Canis lupus familiaris: one gene and its partners. The protein of the gene in region 1 purifies or fractionates together with the protein of each later gene. This does not show direct contact. Links are inferred from orthologs where the notes say so. Each region holds a gene or a part of one and is shown in the gene's direction. Other genes may lie near its edges.

Region 1 (3,657 bases):
CCCTGCTACGTGGCATCTAGCACAGGGCTGGCATGCCAACTGCTCAGTTGGTAGGTTCTCACCCAGCGGCCAGTGGCTTTCCCTGACTCGGCCTAAAATGGGAGATCAACAAGCACTGCTTTTTGGCCATTCTCCGCACAGGTGTATATGCTGGAACTGTGTCCTGTACAAGAGTGTGTGACCTGGTTTGGGTTTATTTACTTGTGCTCTCAAAGGAACAATAAGCAAGACAAGCAAAACATCTTATCCATGCAGCCCCATCGGACCATCTCCTGCAATTTTGATTTTCCAGGTCTTTTCCTTCATAGATAGAACCATGGCAGCTTGGCGACGTGTGCCTTGGTGCTAGGTACTAGGGAGAGGAAGAGGAGAAGCATTCTAGCAGGGGAGACATGTGTACATGACTTGGAAGCTTTTTTGGCACCACCTGGCTAAAACTATATCTTGGAGTACATCCAGTGCTCACATGCTGCCGCTGTCACTGCAACATAATTCTCATAAACCAAATTTAATAGAAGTCATACCAATGGTATTTACTATTGTGGTCTCTTTGAGAATTGTTTTAAAATAATGACTGTAGCCTACAGTTGGAAAAAATCAACAGGTAAATCACAGTGGTAAGTGCTGTGGTGGAGACACAAAGTGCCATGGGATTTCCAGAGAGTGGCTTGCTCCATGATGAGGAAGGTTTCCCATAAGGAGGAGTTGCTTTTGAACTGGAGCTTAAAGACAAGGGTGTTTGCTAGGTGGGAGGTGTGGGGTGATTCTCCAAAAACTCCCATGTCAAAGCATAAAAATGTGAAAGAATGTCATGTGTTCGGGATTGGCAGGACCAATCCAGCGTGGTGCAGAAGTCAGGGCAAATTATAAAGGACTTTGTGAAATCTTGGGATGACTTTATCCTGAAAGCATCAGAGAGTTACGAGGAATATATGTGTAACAGATAAACAGGACAGTGACATGATTCATTGGGATTTCTGACAGATAATTCTGCTGGCAGATGGGAGAACGGGGATGGGCTAGGGGCAGGGTGATTGGCCAGAATGCTCCTCTGAAGTTCCCCTGCCTTTTTAACACTGCTGCCTCTCCTCAGTTGTATTGGCCAATGAGATGGGATTGGGCACCCGCCCAGATGGAGTCCCCCATCCTGCTGTGCTCCTTCTCAGTAGCCTCGACTTGGGGCAGTGCGTGAAGGACTGGCTGTTAATTGTTTTGTTTTGTTTTGTTTTGTTTTTGATAAAGATTTTATTTATTCATTAGAGACACACAAAGAGAGAGAGAGGCAGAGACACAGAGGGAGAAGCAGGCTCCATGCAGGGAGCCCGACGTGGGACTCGATCCCTGGTCTCCACGATCACACCCTGAGCTGAAGGCAGCACTAAACCGCTGAGCCATCTGGGCTGCCCTGTTAACTGTTTTCTAGCTCGAAGAACTAGGACCCAGAGAAGAAGGCAGATTTGAGCCAGGCTGGCCCTGGGAGTGTGACCGGGCCAGAACCAGAGTGCGGGTCTCCAAGCTCTTCCTGTTGTGCCCTGTGGATGTGGGGCTGGTTGCACATAACCAGTTAGCACTGCTCTTCTAGAGTCTCCTCTTCCTATATAAACATGACCTGGGTTTTCTCTCAGCTCTCAAGTTCAAAATTCTTCCCTTTTTTAAAGAACTCCCAAATTATGGAAGCCACTCCTGTCAGCTCTCACCACTGCCTTGACTTTTGTTTACTGCAGATCGAAGGCCCAGCTCTCCCCTTCCAGCAAGCGCAAGAGGGAAGCCAGCCCCCCCGGAGCCCGGACTAGAGGCCAGCAGAGGGTGGAAGAAGCCCCTTCGAAGAAGGCCAAGCGGTAATCCTGGCCACCACCACCACCATGCCCCTGGCGTGTTGGAGACACAGGCGAGAGGAGAGAATAAGCCTGGGGCCAGAAGCTTTTTTTTTTTTAACCAGGGAAAGGACATGCATGTGCTGTAAGTTCCTAGGTGCAAGCTTTTTCTTGTTCTGTTTTAAACAGCTTTATAAACTATTGTTCATAGAAGATATTATGTACATTTATTTCAGATAAAGGAAAATAAGTTTACTTTGTATCTGAACTCAAAACAAAGTAGTTGTATATTTTAACATCTGAAATTGGGATTTCCCGATGTGACACATCACTAATGCAAACCCTTCCAGCCTATCAGACACCAGGCTGCCTACTGGTAATCTGTGTACAGTATATAAACATGTAAAAATAGGTTGTATTTTACTCTATGTATGATGCTAATCAATGAACACTTTATTTATTTTACAGAGAAAACTTATCTGTGAACTTTACTATATATCTGTTTATTTTATTTTATTATTTTTTTTTTAATAAAAAAAGGGTTTTAAATGCTATGCAGTCATTAGTAGAAACGTTTTAGGATGCTGCCTGCCTTGTAACTCTCTATGGTCTGGCAGGAAATACAGGATCTTCTCGCATGTATCCAAGTGAAGTAGTTTAGCTCAAGAAAGGGTCTGCATTGCTTCCCTGTTCACAGTTGTGACTTTTTTAAGAATGTAACTTGATTTTAGATTATGCTCGCATCTGTGACTTTACTTCCAGCCCCACTGGCGTGAGAGGTTCTGGTTCAGGTAAAGTTACATCCTGTCACCTGCAGCAAAAACGCCTCTGTCGGTGTTCATCCCTCCCTCTGTGCTGTTCCGAGGCCTCTACTCGTTCTCTTTCCATGTTGTCCTTTTCAGTGAAGAGAAATGCATTGAGATTAGGTCACTCCTGTCTACTGAGCTTCAAGACTTTATGTTGTTTTATACACAATTATTTCATGATAGAAACTGGCTTTATTGCCGGATTTCTTTTTTAAACATATTTTAACTCCCATACGAACAAACTGTCCAACTTAAGTTTTTCATAAGATTAAATTTTTCTTAAGATCAAATTTGTCTCTAGCAATGATGTGATGAGTTGCCAAATAATTGAGATTATTTTAAAATGTTTTGTTCATATTGTTTTATAATTAAAATTTACATTCAGTGTGTGTGAATTTTTTTTTGACTCTTAATGTAAGGTGGATATTTCTGTCATTTTACATGGTTTCTTACAAGATTTTATATATAAATTATAAAATGTTTCCAAAACTTGAGTGGTAAGAATTTTTTTTCTGTATTTTAAGTTTTCTCTCTGTGAAAACTACTTCCTCTCTCCAAATACTTGGTGTTAGAAATGCTGTTCCATTTTCACTTTCAAATATGAGTCAGTGATGGTGTCTCAGTAGAATTGAATGTTGGATCTGGAAAGGACCTCGGAGACAAGGAACAAGATGAATTTAACCAAAACCGGGAAAGCTAAAGTGATTTTCCCTAAAGTTAGTCAAGGGAAGAAGCCAGAGTAGGTTCCAAAGCTCTAAAGTCCTTGACCAACAACAGTCTGCATTGTGAGTTGTAGATTGGTTTACCAAAATGCACACCTGAAAATGTGTTCTCCATGGGAAACCAGTGTATTCAGTCTAGTCACGCCCGCTGTGGGCATGACCTCACAGGGACTAAATAGTTGGGTTGTGAGGCATTGCTGCCTCTTAATAAAGTTGGAACTAAAGATTGGTACTGGAATATGGAATTTTCTGGCAGGAACTCAGCTAGACCACTTGGTTTCCAGTTGTTCTGAAACCCAGGTGGGACAAAGGGGC
Region 2 (3,382 bases), on another chromosome or scaffold:
AGCAAAGGCAAGGAGTTAGGTTGAGGGAGGCGCCCAGCAGCACAGCCTGCATTCTGCCCTCTAGTTCCGGAAGAAGAAACTCCGCTTTGGTCGCAGCCGGATCCACGAGTGGGGTCTGTTTGCCATGGAGCCCATTGCAGCTGACGAGATGGTCATCGAATACGTGGGTCAGAACATCCGCCAGGTAAGGCCCTGTACCTGGCTCCCAGTAAGATGGCAGCATAGCAGCTGGCATGAGAAACACCTCATCTCTGGATAAAGGTCCACATAACCTCGCAGTTCCAAGACATAGTTGGTGAAACCTGCCTGTGTTTCCTTCGACAGTTAGTGATGGGTCCTTGTAAACTAGGTGGTGACAATCCAGCAAGGAGGAAGGGCCAATATTCTCTCTGGCTATGAGGGTCTCATAGTTCAGTGGGGGAAGAGCCACTGCATAAAGAACTGCACCAAAGGATGATGTCTGGTTGATGGGGAAGAGGAAGCTTGGGGAGGCACAGGTGGTGGGGCACAATGACGTGTAAGCCGGGAGCTGAAGGATGATGACTCCCCAACTCAGAGGAGGGGAAGGGTGCTCCCAGCCACTGGACAGCATGTGCAGAGGTCTGGAGGCAGGATAGTCTCAGTAGGGCAAGGAAGTCAGGATGGCAAGATGGAAAAACCAGGACTGGTGGCCACCAAGAGAGGCAGGTGGAGGCCACACTTCGTGGACCTTAGGTGCTTAGAAGCTGTGTTGTTGAGCTGGGGCCAGTGATAAGGGGAGGGAAGCCATGGCCAAGTGCCCAGCAGTGACAGGCTTTGCAGTCAGTAGGCTCCCTCTGGCTGCAGTGTGAAGGGACAGCCAGAGGCGGGGACAAGTGGGGGTGCGGTCACAGAGATCCCAGCAGAGGCCCAGGGGACCCAGACTAGGCAGTGGCAGCCAAGGTAACAGGAGTCTGTGGGTCCAAGGCAGCTGGCAGCACTGAGCAGCAAGTTGGCTCTAGAGAGTAGGGGAGGGAAAGAGGGGAGGCCATTTCTTGGGCTGCTGGTGAGGGGGGTGAGGAGGAGAAGCAGCTGTGTGGTGGAGAGGAGTTCCAGTCAGGGCCTGTAAAGCTGCAGGGCCCCAGGGACATCTAGAAATTGACGCCTAGCAGCTCCATTGAGGTGGATTTTGGCTGGAGATGGAAGTTTGGGAGGAGGCCCCACCACTTATCTGGCAGTTGAAGCCCTGGAAGAGAATGAGATCACCCCAAGGAGAGAGCACAGAGGGTTTATCATGCCATGTTCTGGGAAATAGGAATCACTCCTCCTCACACAAGAATGTGGACCTTGAGGGCATCAAGTGGCAGCCTGGGGGTGCCTGTCTTGGACAGAGGGTCCTGGGAGAAGAGACGAATAGGGTTCGGGCCCCAAAATGACCATGTCACATCAGGAACCAGCATGGCTTCACAGGAGGCTGGGGGCTCCACCATGGGCCAGGCAGAGGCTCCAGGAGGAGCCAGTGGCTGCTGCTCAAGCCCACTGAGCCCGGCACATTTTCCTGAGATCCCCTTTGGGAGACTTAAAGTGGCAGCCAAAGGTGTCGGTGTGGGGGGAACCTTGAGGAGGGGGCCCTTGGAAGCAGGTGGTTGACTCCTTGGGTGGGTGGGAGCCAGAGGAGGAGCTGCTCACCAAGACAGGTCAATGTGCCACCCACCCCAGGGTGGTAGCTGGAAGGCCAAGCGGGTCCCCTTCACTGGGGCTGGTGGGGTCAGGCCCAGTCTGGCAGGAAGCTGACTGGGACGGCACCCCGTCCTACCAGATGGTGGCTGACATGCGGGAGAAGCGCTACGTGCAGGAGGGTATTGGCAGCAGCTACCTGTTCCGGGTAGACCATGACACCATCATCGACGCTACCAAGTGCGGCAACCTGGCGCGGTTCATCAACCACTGCTGCACGGTGCGCAGGGGGGTGGGGGAACGGGGTGGGAGGTGCTCAGGGTGGGGCGGAGACTCCAGGACCAAGGGCGTAAGCTCACATGGCCCTCCCCTCCTACAGCCCAACTGCTATGCCAAGGTGATCACCATCGAGTCCCAGAAGAAGATCGTGATTTACTCCAAGCAGCCGATTGGTGTGGACGAGGAGATCACGTACGACTACAAGTTCCCTCTGGAGGACAACAAGATCCCGTGTCTGTGCGGCACCGAGAGCTGCCGGGGCTCCCTCAACTGAGGTGGGGCGGGACCGGCGCCCGCGCCTCTATTTATTTCCCTGGGGTCTGGGGAGCCCTAAGCCCAGTGAGGGAGCCTCAGTCCCCGGAGGTAACTCCTGCCTCCCCTGTCGCCCCTGCCCACCCACCTCCTAACTTTTTTTTCTTTGCGGAGAAGAAGCTGTAAATGTTTTGTAGCTGCCAGCAGCTGTTTCCTGTGGAAACCTGGGGTGCCGGCCTGTACAGATCCTGTTCTTGGGGGGCTGCATAGCCCCCTTGCTTTGTGTTAATGGGGACTTCCCCTTTGTGCCCTGCGTGCACCCCTCCCCAGTTCAGGGGTCTCTAGGGGCAGCGGCCATGTTCTCCCCCTGGGGGGGGTGCCCTGTGCCCCCAGTCCTAGGGACTCCGTGCCTGGAACCCTGCCTCATCTTCTGTTCCTGCCAGACCCTGTGGGTCACCCTCCCACCCTGGTTCCTGGAAGCTTCTGCTCTGCCAGACCAGGATGATGGGGGGTGGGCCCTTCCTATTGGGCTGGATTGTACATATGTTAATAGCGCAAACCCAACGCCACATTTTTATAATTGTGATTAAACTTTATTGTACAAAAGTGCTTGGTCAGTATCTTTGGGGAAGAGTAGGTGGGTGGCGGGGGGTTGGGGGTTCAGGACAGAGGATTGGTTGCAAGTGAAGAGAAGGGGAAATGGGTGGCCTGCAGGTTGGGTGGGTAGACCTGCAGACTCAACCACCATTGCTCTGGGTCACCTATTAGTCTGGAATAGTCATCCAGAAATCCCCCACCAAGGTCAGCCAGAGCTGGGCCAAGGTCAGCCTCCCTTCCCTTCCCAGAACCACAGCCGCTGCTGGGCTTCTGGTATCTTGGGAAATCCAGCAAAGGGGAAGGATTGACGTCATGAGGTGGGAGTGAGGTCATCCCACCTGTCCCATCCTCTGCCCACCCAGCGTGTTCTGGCTTCCCCGGGCCGTATTCCCCAAGTTCTTTGCCGGAAGCAGACGCCCGCGGAGCGCAGAGTGGCCGCCAGGGGGCGCCCTATGGCAAGAGCTCAGGGGACGGAGGGGTGGAGGCTGGGCTGGTGTCTGTTCCTGGAATGGGCCAGGAGGGAGGAGGAGCAAGCGGAAGGGGACGGTGTGTTGGCCGACCGCTGGGGCTCCGAAAGAAGACGGCCCCTCCGGTGGGCAGTTTGAGTATCTCGGGACCG
Region 3 (3,595 bases), on another chromosome or scaffold:
GGGCTGACCTGGGCCTTCCTCCTGCCGGCACAGGAATCGTACAAGTACTTCCCTTCCTCGGTGAGTCCAGCCCCCCAGGGCGGGGCGGGGCATGCGGGCAGGGCGGTCAGGGCCAGTCCTGAGATTCTGCCCTGCAGCTCTCGCCAGTGACGCCCTCAGAGTCCCTGCCACGGCCTCGCAGGCCACTGCCCACCCAGCAGCAGCCACAGCCATCACAGAAGCTGGGGCGCATCCGTGAGGACGAGGGGGCAGTGGCATCATCAGCAGTCAAGGAGCCACCGGAGGCTACGGCTACACCTGAGCCACTCTCAGATGAGGACCTACCACTGGATCCTGACCTGTACCAGGACTTCTGTGCAGGGGCCTTTGATGACCATGGCCTGGTGAGCAGCCAGAGCGTTCCATGGTGGAAGGGTGGAGGTCACAGAAGCGGAGTTTCCGTGGTGAGGAGAGCTGGAAGATAAGGCGGAGTATGGAAGGCTGATCTGGGAACTGAGTGGGTGGGGTGGTCATGGGCGGGCAGGTGGGTCAGCATGTGCCTCACTTGCAGCCCTGGATGAGCGACACAGAGGAGTCTCCATTCCTGGACCCTGCCCTACGGAAGAGAGCAGTGAAAGTGAAGCACGTAAAGCGTCGGGAGAAGAAATCCGAGAAGAAGGTGATGGAGAGGGTGAAATGGGTGTGAGAAGGCAGAGGGCAGGGAAGGTAGGGAGAGGCAAAGATCAGGAGCTGGGTGGGGCAAGAGCCAGAAGTGGTGGTGGGGGCAGCGGGACACAGGGAACTGGGGCTGACTTTAACTCCACCCTAACCTGACCTGACTGCTTCGTCCCTTAGAAGGAAGAGAGATATAAGCGGCATCGGCAGAAACAGAAGCACAAGGACAAATGGAAACACCCAGAGCGCGCCGACGCTAAGGATCCTGCATCACTACCGCAGTGCCTGGGACCTGGCTGTGTGCGCCCTGCCCAGCCCGGCTCCAAGTATTGCTCAGATGACTGTGGCATGAAGCTGGCAGCCAAGTAAGTCATTCCTGGAGAGCACAAGGGAGTCAGGGAGTACAGGGCAGGGCATGGCTAGAGCCTTCTGTGTGTCTTCTCATCAGCTACCTGCCTGCTGCTCAGTCCGTGGTGCACCCGTCTATCTGTCCCTCATCTGCTTGTCTACCATCCAGTCACTTACTTATTCTTTGGCCGTTTGGTCACCCATCTCTTCTGCCGTTCTTGGATCACCCCACTTGTCTTGTTCCTTGCCACTTTCCCTGCCTGCACCTAACCCCCTGCCTCCCTGCAGCCGCATCTACGAGATCCTCCCCCAGCGCATCCAGCAGTGGCAGCAGAGTCCCTGCATTGCTGAGGAGCACGGGAAGAAGCTGCTCGAACGTATTCGCCGTGAGCAGCAGAGTGCCCGTACCCGCCTTCAGGAGATGGAGCGCCGATTCCATGAACTTGAGGCCATCATTCTTCGTGCCAAGCAGCAGGCTGTCCGTGAGGATGAGGAGGTGAGTGAGCACAGGCCCAGCGGCCCTGGACCCAGTACCCGGTCCTGCCTGGCTTCATTGTTCCTTCCACTCCACACAGAGCAATGAGGGTGACAGTGATGACACGGACCTGCAGATCTTCTGCGTCTCCTGCGGGCACCCTATCAACCCACGTGTTGCCTTGCGCCACATGGAGCGCTGCTATGCCAAGGTCAGGGTGTCACCCTGAGGGGGACTGTCATTGGGTCGTGGGGGAACAGATGGGTTATCTGGGGGTTGTCTCGGGAGGGCATGCAGCACACATCCACAGTGCCCTCCGTTTGTGCTCATCCCTCTAGTATGAGAGCCAGACGTCCTTTGGGTCCATGTACCCCACACGCATTGAGGGGTGAGTGTGGGCGCTACGTGGAGTTAGAGCAGGGAGGTTAAGGCTGGGGTCAGAAGTGGCATGTTGGGGCAGAATGGGCCTGGGCAAGAACAGATGGGTCCCCCGCCTTTCTCCCCACTACCTTCTATCTTCTAAACCTCCAGAGCTACACGACTCTTCTGTGATGTCTACAACCCTCAGAGCAAGACATACTGTAAACGGCTCCAGGTGCTGTGCCCCGAGCACTCCCGGGACCCCAAAGTAAGGTTTGCTCTCAGTTCCTCCCATTCTGTCCTTTCTTCCTCCTCCCTGCCTCCCTTCCTCCTCCCTTGTGTCCTCCCCTCTCCTCCTTCCTTCCTTTTCCCTACTTGACCCCTTCCGTAACTCTCACTTTGCTTGCCTTATCACTCCTCGTTCCTCTCCTTTTTCCTCTCATCATCTCGTTTCTCCTTTTCCATTCCTCTGTACTCCCTGAACTCTCTTCATTCCTTCCTACCTTCCTCCACCCCCATTCATCCCTGACCCCCGATTTCCTTGCAGGTGCCAGCTGATGAGGTATGTGGGTGCCCTCTTGTACGTGATGTCTTTGAGCTCACGGGTGACTTCTGCCGCCTGCCCAAACGCCAGTGTAACCGCCATTACTGCTGGGAGAAGTTGCGGCGTGCTGAAGTGGACCTGGAGCGTGTGCGCGTGGTAGGTGTCCATGCTAAATGAGGCTGGAGTTCAGGTGGAGCTTCCGGAGCTCCTTCTCATGGCTCTTTTCTACTCCCCTCTCAGTGGTACAAGCTGGATGAGCTGTTTGAGCAGGAACGCAACGTTCGCACAGCCATGACTAACCGGGCAGGATTACTGGCCCTGATGCTGCACCAAACGATCCAGCATGACCCGCTCACTACCGACCTGCGCTCCAGTGCTGACCGCTGAGCCTCACTGGCCCAGAAGTCCTCACGCCCTGCATTCCAGGCCCGGGAGCTGCCCCGAATTCCCCGTTTGTCTGTTCTGCCATTCATCTGTTTCTCCAATGGTCCCTGAGTTTCTCCCTGTGCCCATCCACCATTTGACTACCCAGATGCCGTTATCAGAGGGTCTCAGGATTTTCTTCTGTCCTTGTCTGTCCCTCTGTCTCTCCATTCTCTGTGCCTGGGTGGGACTGTGGAGTTTGCTCACTGTTGCCTCACCTCTCCCTGGTTTTGTTAATAAAATTTTGAAGAACCAACAGAGATTACTACTGGTTTCCACTTTATCCAGCTGCATCTGCACTCCCAAACCCCCTGGGTGAAAGGGCTGAGGCACACCTGTATTCAGGAGGAGTTGCAGTATAGAGCTTCGAGTATGCAGTTGGCAACCACCCTCTGCTCTGCAGGAGCTCCCTTGGGCAGCGGACTATGACTTACTAAGGGAGAGCCCAATGACGTACATCCTCAGCATTTCATCTTGAAACAACGGGTATACAGTTGGCGCTATTTCATTATGTGGCTGATTTCCCCCGTGACACCCCCGTGTCAGCATCGACATCCTCCAGATTAGACACGTATTCGCTGACGGCCACAAGGTCTCTCGTTGCCCCACAAACCCCTTTCCGGGCACGTGTGTAACAGAAGTCCGAGAGCCCCCTCCGCCCGGTCGCGGGGCCCAGCGGGGCCCACAGCGCAGCCTCTCTAGGGCGCGCACGCCCTTCTCGGTGGCACGGCCCTTCTGTTTACCTGCAGCGCGGCACCGCCCCCTTCGCCCGTTCTCGCGGAGGGAGGGAG

The links.
Region 2: the proteins of BOD1L1 (region 1) and SETD1A purify together in Homo sapiens (affinity purification with mass spectrometry; 3 studies listed by BioGRID and IntAct, with this or other methods). This does not show direct contact. The link is inferred for Canis lupus familiaris from reciprocal best matches to the Homo sapiens genes BOD1L1 and SETD1A.
Region 3: the proteins of BOD1L1 (region 1) and CXXC1 purify together in Homo sapiens (affinity purification with mass spectrometry; 5 studies listed by BioGRID and IntAct, counting the BioPlex papers as one, with this or other methods). This does not show direct contact. The link is inferred for Canis lupus familiaris from reciprocal best matches to the Homo sapiens genes BOD1L1 and CXXC1.

The regions. Positions count from the first base shown.
Region 1 is NC_049224.1:67,061,986-67,065,642, forward strand, and holds the end of BOD1L1 (biorientation of chromosomes in cell division protein 1-like 1), read left to right. Parts: intron 1-1,724; coding exon 1,725-1,842; 3' UTR 1,843-3,009; downstream 3,010-3,657. UniProt on the Homo sapiens protein: Component of the fork protection machinery required to protect stalled/damaged replication forks from uncontrolled DNA2-dependent resection.
Region 2 is NC_049227.1:17,386,126-17,389,507, reverse strand, and holds the end of SETD1A (histone-lysine N-methyltransferase SETD1A), read left to right. Parts: intron 1-64; coding exon 65-184; intron 185-1,777; coding exon 1,778-1,915; intron 1,916-2,014; coding exon 2,015-2,188; 3' UTR 2,189-2,772; downstream 2,773-3,382. UniProt on the Homo sapiens protein: Histone methyltransferase that catalyzes methyl group transfer from S-adenosyl-L-methionine to the epsilon-amino group of 'Lys-4' of histone H3 (H3K4) via a non-processive mechanism.
Region 3 is NC_049228.1:78,687,161-78,690,755, forward strand, and holds the end of CXXC1 (CXXC-type zinc finger protein 1), read left to right. Parts: intron 1-33; coding exon 34-60; intron 61-137; coding exon 138-383; intron 384-550; coding exon 551-658; intron 659-834; coding exon 835-1,019; intron 1,020-1,290; coding exon 1,291-1,498; intron 1,499-1,577; coding exon 1,578-1,688; intron 1,689-1,815; coding exon 1,816-1,865; intron 1,866-2,008; coding exon 2,009-2,105; intron 2,106-2,384; coding exon 2,385-2,537; intron 2,538-2,621; coding exon 2,622-2,768; 3' UTR 2,769-3,064; downstream 3,065-3,595. UniProt on the Homo sapiens protein: Transcriptional activator that exhibits a unique DNA binding specificity for CpG unmethylated motifs with a preference for CpGG.